Drosophila melanogaster: one gene and its partners. The protein of the gene in region 1 purifies or fractionates together with the protein of each later gene. This does not show direct contact. Each region holds a gene or a part of one and is shown in the gene's direction. Other genes may lie near its edges.

Evidence for each region. Proteins that work in one complex are often made in the same cells at the same time.
Region 2: the proteins of DIP-theta (region 1) and dpr3 purify together in Drosophila melanogaster (affinity purification with western blotting; 2 studies listed by BioGRID). This does not show direct contact.
Region 3: the proteins of DIP-theta (region 1) and dpr7 purify together in Drosophila melanogaster (affinity purification with western blotting; 2 studies listed by BioGRID). This does not show direct contact.

Annotation. Positions count from the first base shown.
Region 1 is NT_033779.5:5,655,528-5,660,195, reverse strand, and holds the start of DIP-theta (Dpr-interacting protein theta), read left to right. Parts: upstream 1-1,635; 5' UTR 1,636-1,801; intron 1,802-4,668.
Region 2 is NT_033779.5:2,106,841-2,111,743, reverse strand, and holds the start of dpr3 (defective proboscis extension response 3), read left to right. Parts: upstream 1-1,865; 5' UTR 1,866-2,018; intron 2,019-4,903.
Region 3 is NC_004353.4:247,292-255,193, reverse strand, and holds the start of dpr7 (defective proboscis extension response 7), read left to right. Parts: upstream 1-1,864; 5' UTR 1,865-1,993; exon of another isoform or gene 1,994-2,180; 5' UTR 2,181-2,240; coding exon 2,241-2,370; intron 2,371-2,482; exon of another isoform or gene 2,483-2,483; coding exon of another isoform or gene 2,484-2,535; intron 2,536-3,023; coding exon 3,024-3,139; intron 3,140-3,668; coding exon 3,669-3,879; intron 3,880-4,950; coding exon 4,951-5,004; intron 5,005-5,057; coding exon 5,058-5,160; intron 5,161-5,216; coding exon 5,217-5,404; intron 5,405-5,458; coding exon 5,459-5,595; 3' UTR 5,596-5,637; intron 5,638-7,902.

The DNA of each region.
Region 1 (4,668 bases):
AATTTCCCCAAAAAATTCGTAGAAATGCCAAAATAAACGAGTGGGATCGCTGGAATGAGATGGCGCAAGGTAAGGATGTGGAGGATGCTACCCACATGAGCGACAGTAACCAACACGTACAAAACGCATAAACATTCTTGCCTAAGTGAGTTTGTACATAAATTTCGAGCAACTTGCGTTGCAGGATGCGTTACAAGGAGACGATTTTGTGTGGGTCTCAGGATCTGTTTAAAGGGAATGAAGGGGGAGACTGTAGCAGTCTACTGTGAGTAGAGCTAAACTTACGCAAAAATCCATGGGAAACCAAGTGAGTTTTGAAGTTTAGACGGTTGGCTCAGTTTCGGTATCCTAATTTATTTATGCAGCCCCTGGCAAATGCAACTTTACTTAGGATGGATATCACTCAGCTATTCATCGTGTTAGCGTCAGTGCTTATTCGAAGGTATTCAGATGCAATTGTTTTATGTTCGAAAAATATCTTAACACTAAAAAATTTGTGCTACTAGCGTTTACTTTTCACCTTTGAATTTAGAAGAAAGCTAAGAATTTATGAAGATTTCCTACCAAATAACTAAATAGCATTTATTATTTTTATGACATCAAATTTTTAACTACCCAACTATTTAATACCAATTACCGACTACTGGTGTGTGCAACTTGAAAGCTGGAATTGAAATTATTCAACGAATCATGGCAATATCATTGGCTGTTTGCATTATGCAAGCATACCCGGTCCTTTGATGCTTGATGGCATTTCCCGAGCACCTACACACACGCAGCCGGAAAAGAAGCAACTTTAGTAGCATATTTCACGGCGCTGCGTCCGAAGAGAGAACGCTCTAAAGAGCACCGCTTGCCGAAGAGAGAAGCCTTGGGTAAGAGAGACCGAAGCGCACATTACTGACCTACATTAAGTAAAAATTTATTTATGCCGGCTGCCAAATTGGTTCCCCAAAGCATTGGCAGGCCCCGCTGTCCCCTGGTCCCTGGCTTTATGACTATGACGGATATGATTGTTGGTCGGAGTTTCCCTTTCCCCTCCTCGTACTTGCCCACTATTACTGCCTTTGTGGTTGTTGGCTTAAATAATAATGGCTTGTAATTTGCATAAATAATGTTTGATTTTTGCATTGATGAGGGAAGAGTGTGTTCCGCGTGTGTGTGTGTATTTGGGGAATTTTAAATGATTGAAAGCTCGGTCATCATTGGGGAATGCCGGGCTAGATGGCACGAAATTTTTGCATTTAAATCGATAAATTAGTGGAAAGAGCTCTAAAAATCAGTATGCCAGGATATGAGTCGTTTGGTCTATTTGGAAGTTGCATTGTAGATTTAAGCCCACCAAATAGGAAGAATAGTTTGCTGCTATAAGGGTCGACTTCGATGCCCCAACAATGGTTTCTTATCCTGCCACAGCACTGTTAACCAGCTAACAGAGCTCTGGCTCTGTTGCTCTCTAACGGGACCTGGTTCTCTTTGCCTTTGGAGTTCGGCTCGCTTCGGCAAGTTCGCGAGTGCTTGCCGAACTCCACGAACTCCGAGCCGAAGAGCGCTCGGTAGTCGACAGTCGTGACGAATGACGGCGATTATCGCCCTTCGAGGACTTTGTGTAATCAGTGCGTCCTGCTAAGCAAATTAGTTTAGTATGGTTTTAGTGCGCAACGCTGACGGTCGCACCAGTTCGCAGCTCTTAACACGTTGGTGTCGAAAGTCGACGCGCTCGCGTTTCGTCCCTCGCTTGAATTGAATGCCGCGAGTCGCGAGTGCCTGCGATATCATCGGAGGACAATAGCTCAGCACTGTACGTAAGCGGAAGGAATGGCCAGAATTAAATAAATAAATAAGTGCAAGACACAACCGGAGACGCTGGCTGCCAACTTCAATTTGGTACTTCATTTTTCACAGCCCGCTTAACGCAAATTGTGCCGGTCCTGGCTCCTTGCTGGGTACTAAGGTCCTGGTGCATACCCGTGCATTCTCCGCTCCCCTCCCCTGTTGATTGCATTCTTGGCGGCAAGTCGAGCGTGGCTCATTAAATGGCTGGCGAAAAAAAATGAAAGAGGAGTGCCGACTTGCGGAAAAACAATCACAGCATTTCTCTCGGCTGGTAGAGCCTGCAAACGGCATTTATAGAAGGGCCCTAGCGGCGCTGGGAAATTGTGGTATTTTATTCGTTATTTCACTTTGACTGTCACGCCAATTGAATTAATTCCACCGAGGAATTTAGGATTTAATTTGACATTTAATTATTGCAATTAAAAGTGGCCCGCAAAGCGCAGCATCAACAAAAAATGTCGTTTCAAAACAGGATTATGATCAAACAGAACGCAACGAAATTATGAAATTTTGTTTGAAAAAAAATGAATTACTTTCGAAAGTGGTTGACAACATAAAGCCGTGTCACATTACAGCAGCGGTTTGTTATAAAACGCGTAATAAATCTAAGAAAAAAGGAAAAAAGCTTTTATATTGATGAAAGGAAAACTTAAACAACAGGGTCAGAAAAACAATTATTGTATACAATAAAGGTTAACATTAATGGCAAAAGGATACATATATATATATATTTATATATATATATTTGGTTTTTATGCCTTAATAACTTGTTAGCTCTGCCCAATTCTATGATTTGAAACCCCTAGGATATTTTGTCTTTGTATTTTGTATATTAGTATCCTAAAATATCCTTCTCGTTATCAACATAAACAAAATAGCGATTTATTATTATTACAATTCCTTTGACTTCTAGCATTGCCATTGCTAGCTAAAAATATTCAAGCCTGAATGATGTGCTTAACAAATTAAGTTCCATGCAACATGATTTCTTAAGCAACGTTTATCCTTTATTATATGCATTCACTACTTTCGTATATACACATATAATTCAGAAAAGTTTGCGAAACGTCGAATACTTGGTATCAGCAAACTTTTTTGATAACTTTACTTCACTTGTAGCCCGAAAACAGTTTGAAGTGCAGGACGAAAATCACCCAAGGACGAGCTTTAACTAAATTATTGGGAGCTCGCGTCAAGTGTCAGACTTTGGGGGGGAAAATGGAATAACAGTTTGCCTTTGTTGTGTCTACAAATTTGTGGGGCGCTGTTCGTCAGCGCTAATGAATAGGTGGGGAGTTTTGTGCACAATTATCAAATAAAACGGGTAGCCGACCGCACAATTACACACAATATTTTCGCACACGCACCCAAAACGGAAGCCGTATAAACAACATGAATATGAAATTTAGCTGCTAGAAGCATATACATGCACATACATACTATAGATGCACAGCTCGTTGTGGATGGCCGTCCAATAAGCGACATAAAATATGCGAGCACTCACACACACTAGCGCACGCGAGCGAACACTAACACATGCATATGCACATGCGGATGAAGCGCCCGCAGCGAGTGCGGGAAATATTTTATGCACTTTATGCGGCCTGGACGGCGCTTGCTGCTGGGGATCGCTAATTAGGCAATATGCACTTGATTGTGTTATAATCATTAAAACCGGAAATGCATGGCCAACCCACAAAACACAAACGAGCGCAAACGCTTGGCCACACACACACGCGCACACATACGAATATGCGTGAATGCTTTCAGGTGGCTGCAATAGTTCACAGCATACTTTCGCACAGGGCCAAAAAGTGTTTTACCAAAGTTTCGAAATTTCATCACAAGAGTAAATGGGGTCGGTCTCACCATCCTGTCCGATTTTGTTAGTTTCCCATTTCACTCTGATTAATTATTTGGTGAAAAATAATTAAGTCTTTGAGGGGCTGGCAAGGCGTCGGAAAAGCAGCTCGTTCTCCCACAAAATGACGGAAAGTCACATCAATGGCTCGGCGGAAACGGAAGTGCGGGAAAGCAAACACGTGTCGGAAAAATGTCTGCTTGCAACAATGTGTGCTCGTACAAGTATATGTGTGCCAATGCACTTCCGCACACCCACACACCCGCACAGCAGGCGCCCATGTTGCATATGTAAAGCGGCTTGTAAGCTGGCCAATTTTTTATGCATTTATGCATTTTCCCCCGCTGCAGCTGCATCCCGTCCCCCGCTGACCGTTTTTTTTATTAAAGTTGCCCGTTAAGAAAAGCCCAGAAACCGCAGCAACAAACAGGAACGCCCACTGTGCGAACTGCATCGCACGTCCAAACGCCTTTTTGTAGGTTAATCAAATGCAAGACGGGGAAAATGCACAAGCTGCATGTCAGTGGGAAATGCTGCTTGTGGCTAGTTAGTGTGAGCGGGCGTTGGAGCAAGCATTTTGCCATCTTTTTGTGTACGCATTTCGCATGGCTTGTTATATTAAAAGAAATTTCCCAGCTGAGAAGAGACAAGGCAAGGAAAAACAAGCAAGCATCATGGCAACTGACAGCCAAGATGGACGGCTCTGTGATTTGATTTTTATTTCGAGCGATGCACAACAGCAGCTGGCAGTCAGTGGACAGATGAATTATGGCAAATGATGTAAACGCTCCCAGTGGATGTGGCTCTAATTAAACCGAGGGCCAAGAAGCACTCATAGCCCAAGTACTCATTTTCTCCTTTTACAATAGATAAATGACGTTTCGCAATTTCTCAAAAGTTTCGACTACCCTTGCTGGTTGCCTAAAACCAGAAAAAAATATTTCCTTTACTTGCATATTTATTGATTTTCA
Region 2 (4,903 bases), 3.5 Mb from region 1:
AAATTATAAGTCAATAAAAATACTTTGAAGTTTTGATGGCTTTTTGCTGTGCAATATTTTTCGGGTTTTCCTGATTTTTTAATGCCTCTTGTTCTTGACGCCAGTCTTCTACTGCTTCTTCTTGTTAGTTAGTTGTTGCTTGTTTGGATTTATGAACCTGCCACAAATTCGTCAGCGAAAATCCCTGGGAAAATTCTCTCAGCTGCTGTGTTTTTGTTCCGTTTTTTGTTTTTCTTTTCGCTTCTTGTTGAGTTTGTCAAATTTTTGACATTGAATCTGCAATGCGGGTGGCTAGAAAAAAAAAGGATAGCCGCAGGTGAAGGCAGCAAAGGATCTGCAGGAGCAATGCAGTTTCAGCCCGACTGATTTTTCCACGCTTGGATTTATTTTCATTTTTTCCGGCTGCGCTGCGTGTTTTTTTCCCACGCCCCAGAAAAAAAAAACTGGCTGCTTGTGAAATAATTGATGTGCAAATGTTCAATTGAGTTCACCTTGAGTGAAAGTGAGGGGCAAAAGGAAGCCAATAGATAGACGGCGGCTTTCACTCTGACGAACGTTAAATGTCAATGGAATGTGGGGTGGGGTGGGGTTGGGTGTAAACGAGAGGAGGTGTCTGCAAATTGGTGGCTTAAATTGATTAAGCTCCAAATGCAATCGATTATAAATTATTAAGAGCAGCTTAGGCCTATTATGTGTGGATAGCTGATATATTGGTATTAGGAAATTCATAACAAGTTCATTGAAAATTCGCGGTTATTAATTATTTATTATTATTTAATTATTTATTATCCATAATACTTGGATTAAAATGAATTTAAAAAGCTAATAGCGTTTGTAGAAATATTATAGAGTGTGAAGCTAAACTTAAAATTATAATCTCATAACTTGAAACATTAAGTGTCTTATATATTTTGCAAACTGACTTCTATTCAAAATATGGCAATTTCTCAAAAGTTTCAACAGCCTGGGGAAATGTTTCTTCAAATAAAGCGAAAACTGAAGGGGTAACTTTATGCACTGAATAAAGGGATTTTATCGCTCAACAAAGAAGCAGTTTATGTCCTAATGGACTTTTTAGAACAAGAGGTTCATGAAAAGCAGTAAACATGCTTATGGGATATATTTGGAAGTTAAAAAGCAGTCATATCTCAAGAAGGATATTTTTAGACTAATGTAAGGGCATTTTAGACCGGGTGTCCTTGGAAGCAGTGCAGGAAAGGATTTTTGTTTCAACTGTAAACAGGAGCATTTACCACACGTAGGATTTATTTAGCAGCTAAAAGATTTTTTGACTATGGTCTATGGAAAAATATATCATTCTACTTAAACTAAAAAGCAGTGCAGACTGCTTTCTACTTAAAGCAGGGGAAGAATATGCAAGACCAAATAGTATGAAAATTGGTAATAAGTCTCTTAATTTTTTGAAAATATTATCTAAGCCAAATATAAATATTTAAAATTAAAGATATAAAAAATAATACTTTTAGGGCACTTACTTTTAGGTAAAAATTAAATATATTTTTTCTAAATTTATTATGATTATTTTTAAAATTTATTTAGTTTATTAATGCCCATTCCCACATTTCACATTGCGCTGCAAGGATATTTGCGGGATATTATTTCCCCAGGATTTCACGAAGCTTTAACACACATTCGGAGTGCGGCGAATTGTGGTCCTTACAAGCTTTTCCGACTCGTGACTGTGTGCGTGTGCGGCTGATTGCCTGCGTGTGAGTGTCCTGTTCGCGTTGTTGTCCTAGTCGGTTTTGAACTTTTTTTTTACGTGCCTCGGAAGCCTTCGCTTTTACCTTCGCCTTTGCCTGTAGCCGCCGTAGTTCATGCCGCCGATCTCAGTATTGTGACGGCAACCAGGGGCTGCGGAAGTGCCACACACTCGCGACCTCGAGTCCTTTTCGCGCACAACGGTAAATCGAGTGGGTTAGGCGGTTTTTCGAGTTTTTCGAGTTTCCCGTGTTTTCCGACTTTTCCGGCGACCCAAGGAAAGGCGTAATTTTGAAGTGCGTTAACGAGGAGATTCGCCGGAAAGCGGACTTTTCAATGGCCCCGTGGAGTGAAAAGTGGGAAACAACAATAGAAATTTAAATATTCATGAACAGTGTCGATTGTCATCAATTGTGCGATGTTGTGCGGTGGCTGTGGACACATCGCACCCGCCAAACATTGTGTGGAACATTTCCCGCTCCTTTCGCCAATCAATGGCTGTTCACACATGAACACGAATATATTTAAAGACTTACAATTTTGGGCTCCGTTCATATCTTATGTAAATGAATCGAGAGCGATAAATTATATTTAGGATTTTGTTATCTAAGGCGACATGGGTGCATTGCTCAAAAACATGTAATTTAAGTGCACACTACATGAGTCAGTCACTTGAGATCGTTCCCCGCCTCCTAAAATAGTCCCTTAGTGGGAGACCACAGATAAGGTCCTCGCCGCTCAAGATAGGCAGATGTGCCCGAGCGTGGGACCTCGATAAGGCGGGGACTATTTACGTAGGCCTCTGCGTAGGCCATTTACTTTAAGATGCGATTCTCATGTCACCTATTTAAACCGAAGATATTTCCAAATAAAATCAGTTTTCTTACAAAAACTCAACGAGTAAAGTCTTCTTATTTGGGATTTTACATTTGGTCAATCGAGCCTTTAATCGACTCTGCAGTTTCCCCCTACCAAAGGTAAGGAACTCAGAGAAAGGCCAGCTCCTTTAAGCATCTTACAGCTAAAGGTAGCAAAAATAAGTGACTCTTGTTTCCCCCTACCAAAGGTAAGGAACAGAGTATAAATATAAAAAGCAAAAGATACAAAAGAATCTTTTATGTTTTAAAACAAGCACCTTATAGTCTATAGCTAAAGGTTGCTTTGTGTACCATTATAAATTGTGGTAAGGCGTGCTTGAGGCCATACATCAGCAATTGTGAAATTAAAAAGTGCATAACAAAAGTGCCTTATAAATGCTCTAATAGCATTAAATCAGCTCATAAATAGAGTGCAGTGTATATGCCATAAGAGCATAAATTAAATAAAAAGTGCCTGAAAACAGTGCCTTATAAATGCTCTAATAGCATTAAATCAGCTCATAAATAGAGCGCAGTGTATATGCCAAAAGAGCATAAATGCCGAAATAAATGGCTAAAAAACAAAAAATCTGACTGGACTACAAAAATAATAAAACGTGCCAAAAAAAAAAAAAAAATCATCTTTAAACATCGACGGAGCCTTAAAGAAGAGAAGGAAGTCAAATTCAAAGGAGCCTCTACCAGCAGCAGAAGCAGCAACAACAGCAGCAGCAGAAGCAGCAACAGCAGTAGCAACAGCAGCAACAACAGCAGCAACAGCAGCAGCAACAACAACGACATCAGCTAAGTCAAAACAAGAATTTTCTGTTTATCCAAACACACATATATATATAAATACATATAAAATACATATACACGTACTATATATATTAAGAAATTACAAAAAATTTTCAAAATGATGTCAGAAAAGACTATTCAATTCCTTAAGAAGCAGTCCGAAATTATTTTGGAAATTAGAAAGTTGGAAGTAAAACCAACATTAACAGATGTAGAAATTCTAAAATTAAATGAGCTTCAAAAATGTTTCATTGCTAATCATAGCAATTTGTTAAAGATCGGCGTTGTCGATCATGAATATTTTAACGCGAAGCAGTATGATTTAATAATGATGGTGTTAGAAAAAATTAAAAATAAAAATGAAAAAATTAAGGGCGAGTCGGTAGAAAACACTTTCCCTAAATCAAACACTGTCCCTAAATCAAACCCTCCCCCTACATTAAACCTTGAAATGCGTGGTCACCCTGAAAAAGAGGGTATAGCACAAAACAACGCTTTAAAAGTAGAGCAGGCATTTCGTAATAATGTTGGCCAATTTCGAGTATATCTAGAAGATACGTCTAAACTAATAGACAGTAGTCCAGATTTCCTTAAAATAAGGAAAAATAAAATTGAATTTTTATGGCATAAAATAGATAACCTGATTGAACAGGTGAATAGTCATTTTGAGAGTTCGCTATTCGAAGAAGAAATTAGCGAACTTGAATTTGACAAACAAAATATTCTTACAGCCATTAATAGTCGACTCAGTGGCACAATAAATAAAGCTGAAATGTCGACGGTTGTTAAGGCGGAGGAGTTACCAACCCTGCCTAAAATACAGATTCCCACCTTCTTTGGTGATTCCAAAGAATGGGATCTTTTTAATGAACTCTTTACAGAGCTCATACATGTGAGAGAGGATCTCAGTCCTTCTCTCAAATTTAATTATCTAAAGTCAGCATTAAAAGGAGAAGCCAGAAATGTGGTTACTCATTTACTGCTCGGCTCTGGAGAAAATTATGAAGCCACTTGGGAGTTTTTGACCAAGCGATATGAGAATAAAAGAAACATATTCTCAGATCATATGAATAGGCTTATGGATATGCCAAATTTAAATTTAGAATCCAATAAGCAAATAAAGACATTTATTGACACGATTAACGAGTCAATTTATATTATAAAATTAAAGGCACAATTACCAGAAGATGTGGATGCAATTTTCGCTCACATAATTCTTCGGAAATTCAATAAAGAATCACTCAATTTATATGAAAGCCATGTTAAAAAGACAAAAGAAATACAGGCACTTTCTGATGTCATGGACTTTTTAGAGCAAAGGCTCAATTCTATATCATCATTCTCACAGGAAGTAAAACCTGTAAAGAAAATGATTAATAATAACAAGAATAAAAATTATAGTGACAATTGTGCATATTGCAAACTACCAGGGCATTATTTAATTCAATGCCATAAATTTAAAATAATGAATCCAGCAGAACGGTCTGACTGGGTAAGAAAAAATGGGATTTGCCTAAGATGTCTGA
Region 3 (7,902 bases), on another chromosome or scaffold:
TTTCAAAGCACACAATATTTATATTGAAATTCTGGAATAACCAGTACTTCTGTATAATTTTATCAACAAATAGTAACTATGACACCTTGAGGTTTACGATTATTTATTTGTTATTTAATTTTTATATGTCATATTATTGATACTATTTATTTTCTATTTAGACACTGTTAAACCTCGAAAAATAGCACAAAATGCCTGGCGAGATAGCGTGTACATAATAAGAGAACATTATTTTCAGAAAAAAAAACATAAAAATATTTCGAAGTTCACGAGATATTATTTTTGAATGTATTTATGGTACAAGAGCATCCCGCTTGTGATCGACTAATGTGCATACATATACACGTTCTGAAAACAAACTCTTTACTTTTCTTACTTTTTAAGTTTATATTTACAAACAAGATTTGTACAAAAACATATGTATACAATTTCATAATACCTTGTTATCCCAATTGTCGTGCTTATACCGGACAAACCTAAATTCAATTGGAATTTGTATTTTCGTTTGCAATTAATGTACTGTTATTTAAGAATAATACTACTATTGCGGTAGAGCTGATGAGACATTACATTAGGTTCATGTAAATACCTTGACCTGAAATGGTGTTGCCTTCTATAAGGAAAACAAATTATACACTTTTGCAGATGTTTAGTCCGAAGCGAATAATTGGCCTTATGTATGTGTCATGCTCTGTGCAAGCTGCTAGTTGAAAAGTTATAGTTCTATCTGTGTGAAGCTACATTTTGAATTTAAGAATTGATTTTCAAAAGGAAACACCTAGATGTTAACAAGGACGGTGACAGTTTTTAAGGGAGCGAAACTGAACTTTATGTGAACTAAACTAACTTACACTAATTTTCAAACAAGTCAACTTAAAACTAAAACAAGAGAGAATGCTATAGTCGAGTTCCCCGACTATCAGATACCTGTTACTCAGCTAGTGTAAATGCAAACGCGGAATTTTATCATTTTTCTGAGATATCGATAGATATTGGGGAATAAAATGACAAAAAAATTAATAATAGTTAATACTATTTAATAATAATAGTAGAGTGGGCGTGACCGGTTTGGGGCTTTAGGGCGGGGCTAAAAGTTTTTTGGCAAATCGATAGAAATGTACAAGAATAATAAAATATTGGAACAACATCCAACAATTTTTTTAAAATATGGGCTGTATGTTAAATCTCTACCTTCTTGGTTTTATGGTTCCTGAGATTTCGGCGTTCATACGGATAAGGCTAGATCGACTCGGTTTTTGATCCTGATCAAGAATAAAAATGTATATAATATAATAATATCATATAATTTATGTAGCCGGAAACGCTTCCTTCTGCCTGTTACATACTTTGTAACGATTTTAGTATACCCTTTTACTCTACGAGTAACGGGTAACGTTTCCTTTTCTATATCATTTAAATTTACGAGTAACTGGTATAATAACTTATGCATTTTTTTAGGATAAATTCACAATGTATGCTTACATTACCATTACCGTTTTTGAGAATGTAACTGTCAGTAGTAACAAATTTGTTCGAAATTTAAGGGGTAAAGGTGCTATTGTCACGTTTATCTGATCTCAGTCTCAAATTGATGTGTACCATTTGTATTCCGCCCATTGCTTATATTATTAAGCCGTGTTACTGAGTCTTAGCAATAAAAGGAAACTAGAGTACTTAGTATATGACTTCAAAATGTTAAAATTAAAAAATATATACATACAAATAATTATAACCTACGCAATCTATAAATATATAGAATCTATCCTAAATTGTAAGATAACACATATGTACATATGTGACAATGGGCATGCGCGAATATTTTCAGGGTTGCAGAATATTAAAAATCTGTATACAAGTCGTCCTCACAGAAACACTAAAACGTGCTGCTTAGGGGTTGTTAGAGCTTACCGTTGAAATAATAATTGTCGATGCCAACGAAATAAGTGTAAAGACTAAAAAAAGTATATAAAAATTGAAGCCAGCAAGTATAATTGTATGTATATTAAAAACACAGATCTAAATACCGAAAAACAGAATATTATTTGAAAGTCCATTAAAAGGATAAAAAATCGATGCCGATACAAAGTTGTTCTCAATAAAAATCTTGCGCCAATACGTGCTCTCGCGTGTGCTTAATATCTAACTTAATTATATACTTAACATTTATTATAACTACATAGGTATATGGAATTCTACTCTAAATAATGCATATCTGTGAAAGACAAATGAATTAAAGCAACATGTCGCGTGGCAAACATGCCACATTCTTGAATAATTCGCCAATTAAAATCAAACCATTCATTATTTTAGTCTTGAATTTAAATATATGGTGTCAATACATTAGTGCAACTTCATATTTAAGCCTGAACGGTAAGATACATTTTAAATTAAAAGTTTCCCACTAGAATGATAAATATATTTTTACCCTTGCGGGATTTTTTTTTTAATTTTGGTTGGACCCATTTTCTTCTGCAACGTGTAGAATGAAAACATATAATGCATTCCTGAATACGAAGACAAAAATTATACATGTATGTACGTATTGTACTTAACAATATTCAATTGTGAAATTATACGCAAAAGTATTATGTTTAAAAAGCCATTGTATTTAAATTATGCTAAATTTAAATCTAAAAAATAATCTTAATATTGCATTTTGCCCATAGTATTTTTACCACCTGAAAGCTTGCTTTGCAAAACATCCTTCGAGAGGAGCTTCGGTTTCTAAAAGATGACAACAGTTTCATGTCTCGCCCCAAGCTCTTTCACCAACAAGTGTAACCACTCTTTATGATCGACCTATCGCAAAAGATTTCGCGCATGTATATATAGTTGTCGCAAGCTCTTAGTCTTGACCGACACTTCCGTCCATAAAAAGATCGAAACTTTAAATTAAAATGTTTAGCTTCTAGATAAGGGGCATATAAAATTATTTTTAGTTTATACCTGCAAGGGTATATACGCTTCGGCTTGAATAATTTAGCATCCGTTTTCGTTTAACATAAAATACAAATTCATTTTAGACCTAACCAATTTGGAGCGACCTTTCTTTGATGATATTAGCCCAAGAAATGTGTCGGCCGTAGTCGACGAAATCGCAATATTAAGATGTCGGGTTAAAAATAAAGGAAATCGCACGGTAAGTCATTATGGGTTCTTTCTTTTATTCTTACACATAGGATTATATCGAAACATTTTTATTCGTTTGAAGAGCACATTCGGTCACATGGTAAAAAGTACGACTGTACGAATTAGTGACGGAAAATTGTTTGAGGGGGAAGTAACCTTAAATTTCAAACTAAACTTGGGGACACACCAGGAAAACGTTTTATTTTTTAAAGGCAGTTTTCTCCCAAGGATTGCTAGCTTGCGCTGTCTTTTCGCTAGCCCTTTTCAACTCTCCTCCCAAATCTACGTGGGAACTTGCCTCCATTTCCATCGATCAAGCTTGTTTCGAGGCCTGTTCTCAATTTGAAAATGTGAAAAATTCTTTTAAGTCTCATGTTTCTCTAGCAAGCTTGCCTATATCTAAACAAATAGGATTAGGAATAAATGATTACATTTTGAAATAGTGAAAGGGTTATCAGATAGCGGAGGACTTAACTTTCCCTTGTCCTAAAATTGCGTATCTATTTAATATTTCTTATAAATACTTTTAATTATTTCAGGTATCATGGATGCGTAAGCGGGATCTTCACATTCTTACAACGAACATTTATACTTACACCGGCGATCAACGATTTTCTGTAATACATCCACCAGGCAGTGAAGATTGGGACTTAAAAATTGATTATGCACAGCCAAGAGACAGTGGCGTATATGAGTGTCAAGTGAATACCGAGCCTAAAATAAATTTAGCAATTTGTTTGCAAGTAATAGGTATATATATAAACATTTATTAACAAACAAAAAAAAAAAAAACAAAATAATAACTGTGGAACTCGAGTACTGTATATACAAAACTAAATTTTGTCGTTGAGCGACCATAACAAATAATACAGAAATCAAGAGGCAGAAATCAACAAGTCTTGGCAATTAAAAATTTTAAATCTGAACACAAATTAGTAAAGTAATGAGTCTAGAGTATTGGGCAATAAATAGCTGGAAATGCATATTCAAATGCTATCTATACTGTTTAAACCTATTTTATCTAAATTCAACAGGTTAAAGACTGCAGCAAAAGGAACCTTTTGACTCTTTTGATAATTTTACAAAAAATTCCCCGACTTTTGATATTAAACACATTTTCGAAAATTCGCGATTTTAAGTTAGAAAGCAACAAAATCAGTCAATTTTCACAGTTGACATGCGTTCAGCTTTTTTAACAACTAACTAACTAAATATTGAGAATTGATCTACATTTTCTTGATAAAGAACTTGATAAAGAAAGTTGAGCTTTCCTACTTAAGAACCGACCAAAAACTTTACCCGCACGGTACATGAAAGTCGAGGAGTTTTTATAATCATTACTTTTAATGTAATAGACAGAAGGAAGCGTTTCCAACTATATTCAGGATAAATACCCGAGTATGTCCTTCCGTCCGTATGAACGTCGAGATCTAAGGAACTATAAAAGCTAGAAGTTTGAGATTAGCATACAGATTCTACAGACATACTGCCAGGCCCACTCTAACTCCCACAAATCAGTTGGTTTGCTAATTTCTACCGATATGCCGAAAACATTTTACCTACGCCCACTTTGAACCATAAAACACGCCCAAATCTATCCCGCCCACACCTTAGGGAATTAAAATTAACTTTTTTCCCAAGTTCAATCGATATTCTTGAAAGATGTTAAAAATTCTCGGACCGACTTGGGTCTCATTCTCTGGTTTTTGTTTGATTCAGGTTTTAATTTCACCTGGAAGAGTTCATAAATATGCTTACCCCCAGAAAATGTTGTATTAATTTAATTACTCATACTAAATTTACTTTTGTATAAAATTTTAGCTGACAACGACTTTCAAGACCTTAAAACTAAGAAGCGGTTTTACGACACAAAGTGTAAGGCCTTTTATAGCTTGCTTAAAATTAAAATTATCTGTGATATTTTAAAGCGGCTCGAGCAAAAATTCTTGGATCTACGGAAATTCATGTAAAACGGGATAGCACTATTGCCCTGGCTTGCTCTGTTAATATACATGCACCATCTGTGATTTGGTAAGAAACCATGATCTTTGTAAGAGATTTTAACAACTTATTTTACTATATCAAAGGTATCATGGCTCATCAGTTGTTGACTTCGATTCACTTCGCGGTGGAATAAGTTTAGAAACGGAAAAAACTGATGTAGGAACAACGAGTCGATTGATGCTAACGCGAGCTTCATTAAGGGATTCTGGAAACTATACATGCGTTCCAAATGGAGCCATTCCAGCTTCTGTTAGGGTTCACGTATTAACTGGTAAACATAAAATTATTTCAATTTAATATGTTTTTAAATATTTCATTGGTACAGGTGAGCAGCCTGCAGCAATGCAAACAAGTTCTGCCATTCGGATTAGGGCTTTCACTGCAATGATAACTATCATATCAACAAAAGTGTTGTTATATATTTCAAGTCTTATGGAGCATATGTATCTAAGAGAAAGATGACTACCAATATAATTTCCATTATAATATATAAATAACATTAAGGTAAGATAATAGATTTTTATCAACCCTATATAGTACGAATAAACTCTAGTTTCGCGTTTTGCCAGCTGTTCTTTGCTTACAAGAAAGGAATAGTTTCCTTCGTATTTTCAACCACGCGTTGACACGCCTACTCTAACCGCCCAAAACTGCCACACCCACACTTTTGCAAAATTTTTTGATATTTTTTTTCATTAGTCTTGTAAATTTTTATTGAGTTGCCAAACATTTTTTTTCCATGGCCACTAAAAGTTCACTGATTTCTGGCTCGAGTCCAAGGTTCAGCGCGGTACCGTTAGTTCACGGCATCCGCTTTACCAGGGTTTAAGATCCACTATTTCCTGTTAGAGCTGACTTTAACCTTCGCCTTCTTCGCTGGTGCTCCCCGGATTTGTGGGGAGTTTTAAGACTCCTCACAATACATATCTATGATACGAAGACAAGGAGCTCTAACTTCAAGGGTTTAGACGACATGCAATATAAGATGTAGCTGTTTATCAGGCGGAACCGGAACATCGTTTCTTACTTGTCGATAAACTGGTTTGCAAGCTGAGAATAATTAAATTAAATGTATTAAGATTCAATCCCCGAACCTAATCAACTCCAATGTGAGGTTCTCTTATCCCTGTATAAATACAATGTTAATAATTAAGCCTTCAAAAAGTCTATTAGCTTTCAAAGCGAACGTTCGTGTTTTTTTTTTTGCGACCCGATTTTTATTTCGTGTTTGTCCAACCAGCCGTGGTTTTTAATAATCTTTTTTAATTATCAAATATTTTAAACATAATTATTAAAGATCCGTTCGCTTCGCGAGTGATTCTTTTGTGATTTGTGCAGTTTGACCCCAACCTGTGATTGCTTAAAATTCCGAATTGCCTGCACTGGTTTCTTAACCAGTGATTCCACCTGTCCCGATTAGTTTACCACCACAACGGAACATTGAGTCCGGACTAACGGCACAAGTTGGCACTTCAGAAATACAATCTGCAGGACCAAAACCCCTCGCGGTGGTTCCACTAAATAAACAAATTTTCGTTTCTCGGCTTTCCCGTGATGAAACATTGTCTGATGTATTGTCTTATATACAAGACAAAACAAAAGCCGATAATATAAAAGTGGAAAAGTGTAACTTCTCTTACGCTAGGGACAGATCAAAGGCACTAAAATTTTCGGCCCGAAATCGTCTTCTAGAACAACACGCACACATATACGCGTTCTCGTCTCTTGTTTTTACTTGCACAAGCAAGCAAGTTCTATTTTAAGATTTCTTACGCTCTCGGCGTAAGCTAGCGGACAGAGAGCAATTTTGGCCGTCACCAAAAAAGTGGCGGCTGCATAGTGCCAAACCAATGTATGGCCGTTACGCATCTTGTCATTGTAGTGTCTTTGGTATGACCGTCCCTCCAGACGGGGAGGTGGAGTCTTAATTGCGGTTAGATCTATCCTCTCGTCAGAAGAGTTACTTTTGGGCGATTCCCGTAACTCGGAATTCTTATGTGTAAAGCTGTAATTTTCCGACAGTTCAGTTTATATTACGTGCTCGTATATTCCGCCATCTTCTGAATTCCCAGAATATAAGAATCATCTGTCCGATATCCAGTCCATCTTGAATAAACTGTCTGACAGGGACCAATTGGTAGTTCTAGGTGATTTTAATATACCTGGCACAACGGGGTCCCCAGAAGAAAAATCGAATATCCTTCTCCCTTTAGCACAACATGACTTTATTGACGGCTTGCTCGACTTATCTTTGTCGCTAGTTAATTATATTCCAAACTCTCTTGGTCGACTGTTGGATCTATGTTTTGTAACAAGTCCTGAAAGTGTGTTTCTGTCCAGGGTAGACCCTCTTACTCAACCTCAAGATCCATATCCTACTTTCGAGGTGGCAATCGACATAGGTAAGGTATAAGTAAATTCAGAGAAGTCAACCAAGCGAATTCACTGTTTTCGCAAGGCAAATTTTCGTAGGCTAAACAATTTTATAGCTGGCTTTAATTGGTCCGATCTTTACTCCTGCAACATAATGGCGGATACGATTAATATGTTTTATATCGCAAATAAATCATTCAGAACACTCTTGTGTTCCTTTAATAATATAGTTTTTATAGTTAAGAAAGTTTTTAATGTGCTACAGCTTAATGATCTTTAAGAATAAGGTTCGAGTTCCTCCGATATATTGCAAGCCGCCCCTATACAAGACAACATCCAAGACATTAAAGTTTAAAGTAAAGTTAAAACATTGTTTTAAAGAGAAAAGTGTGGGTC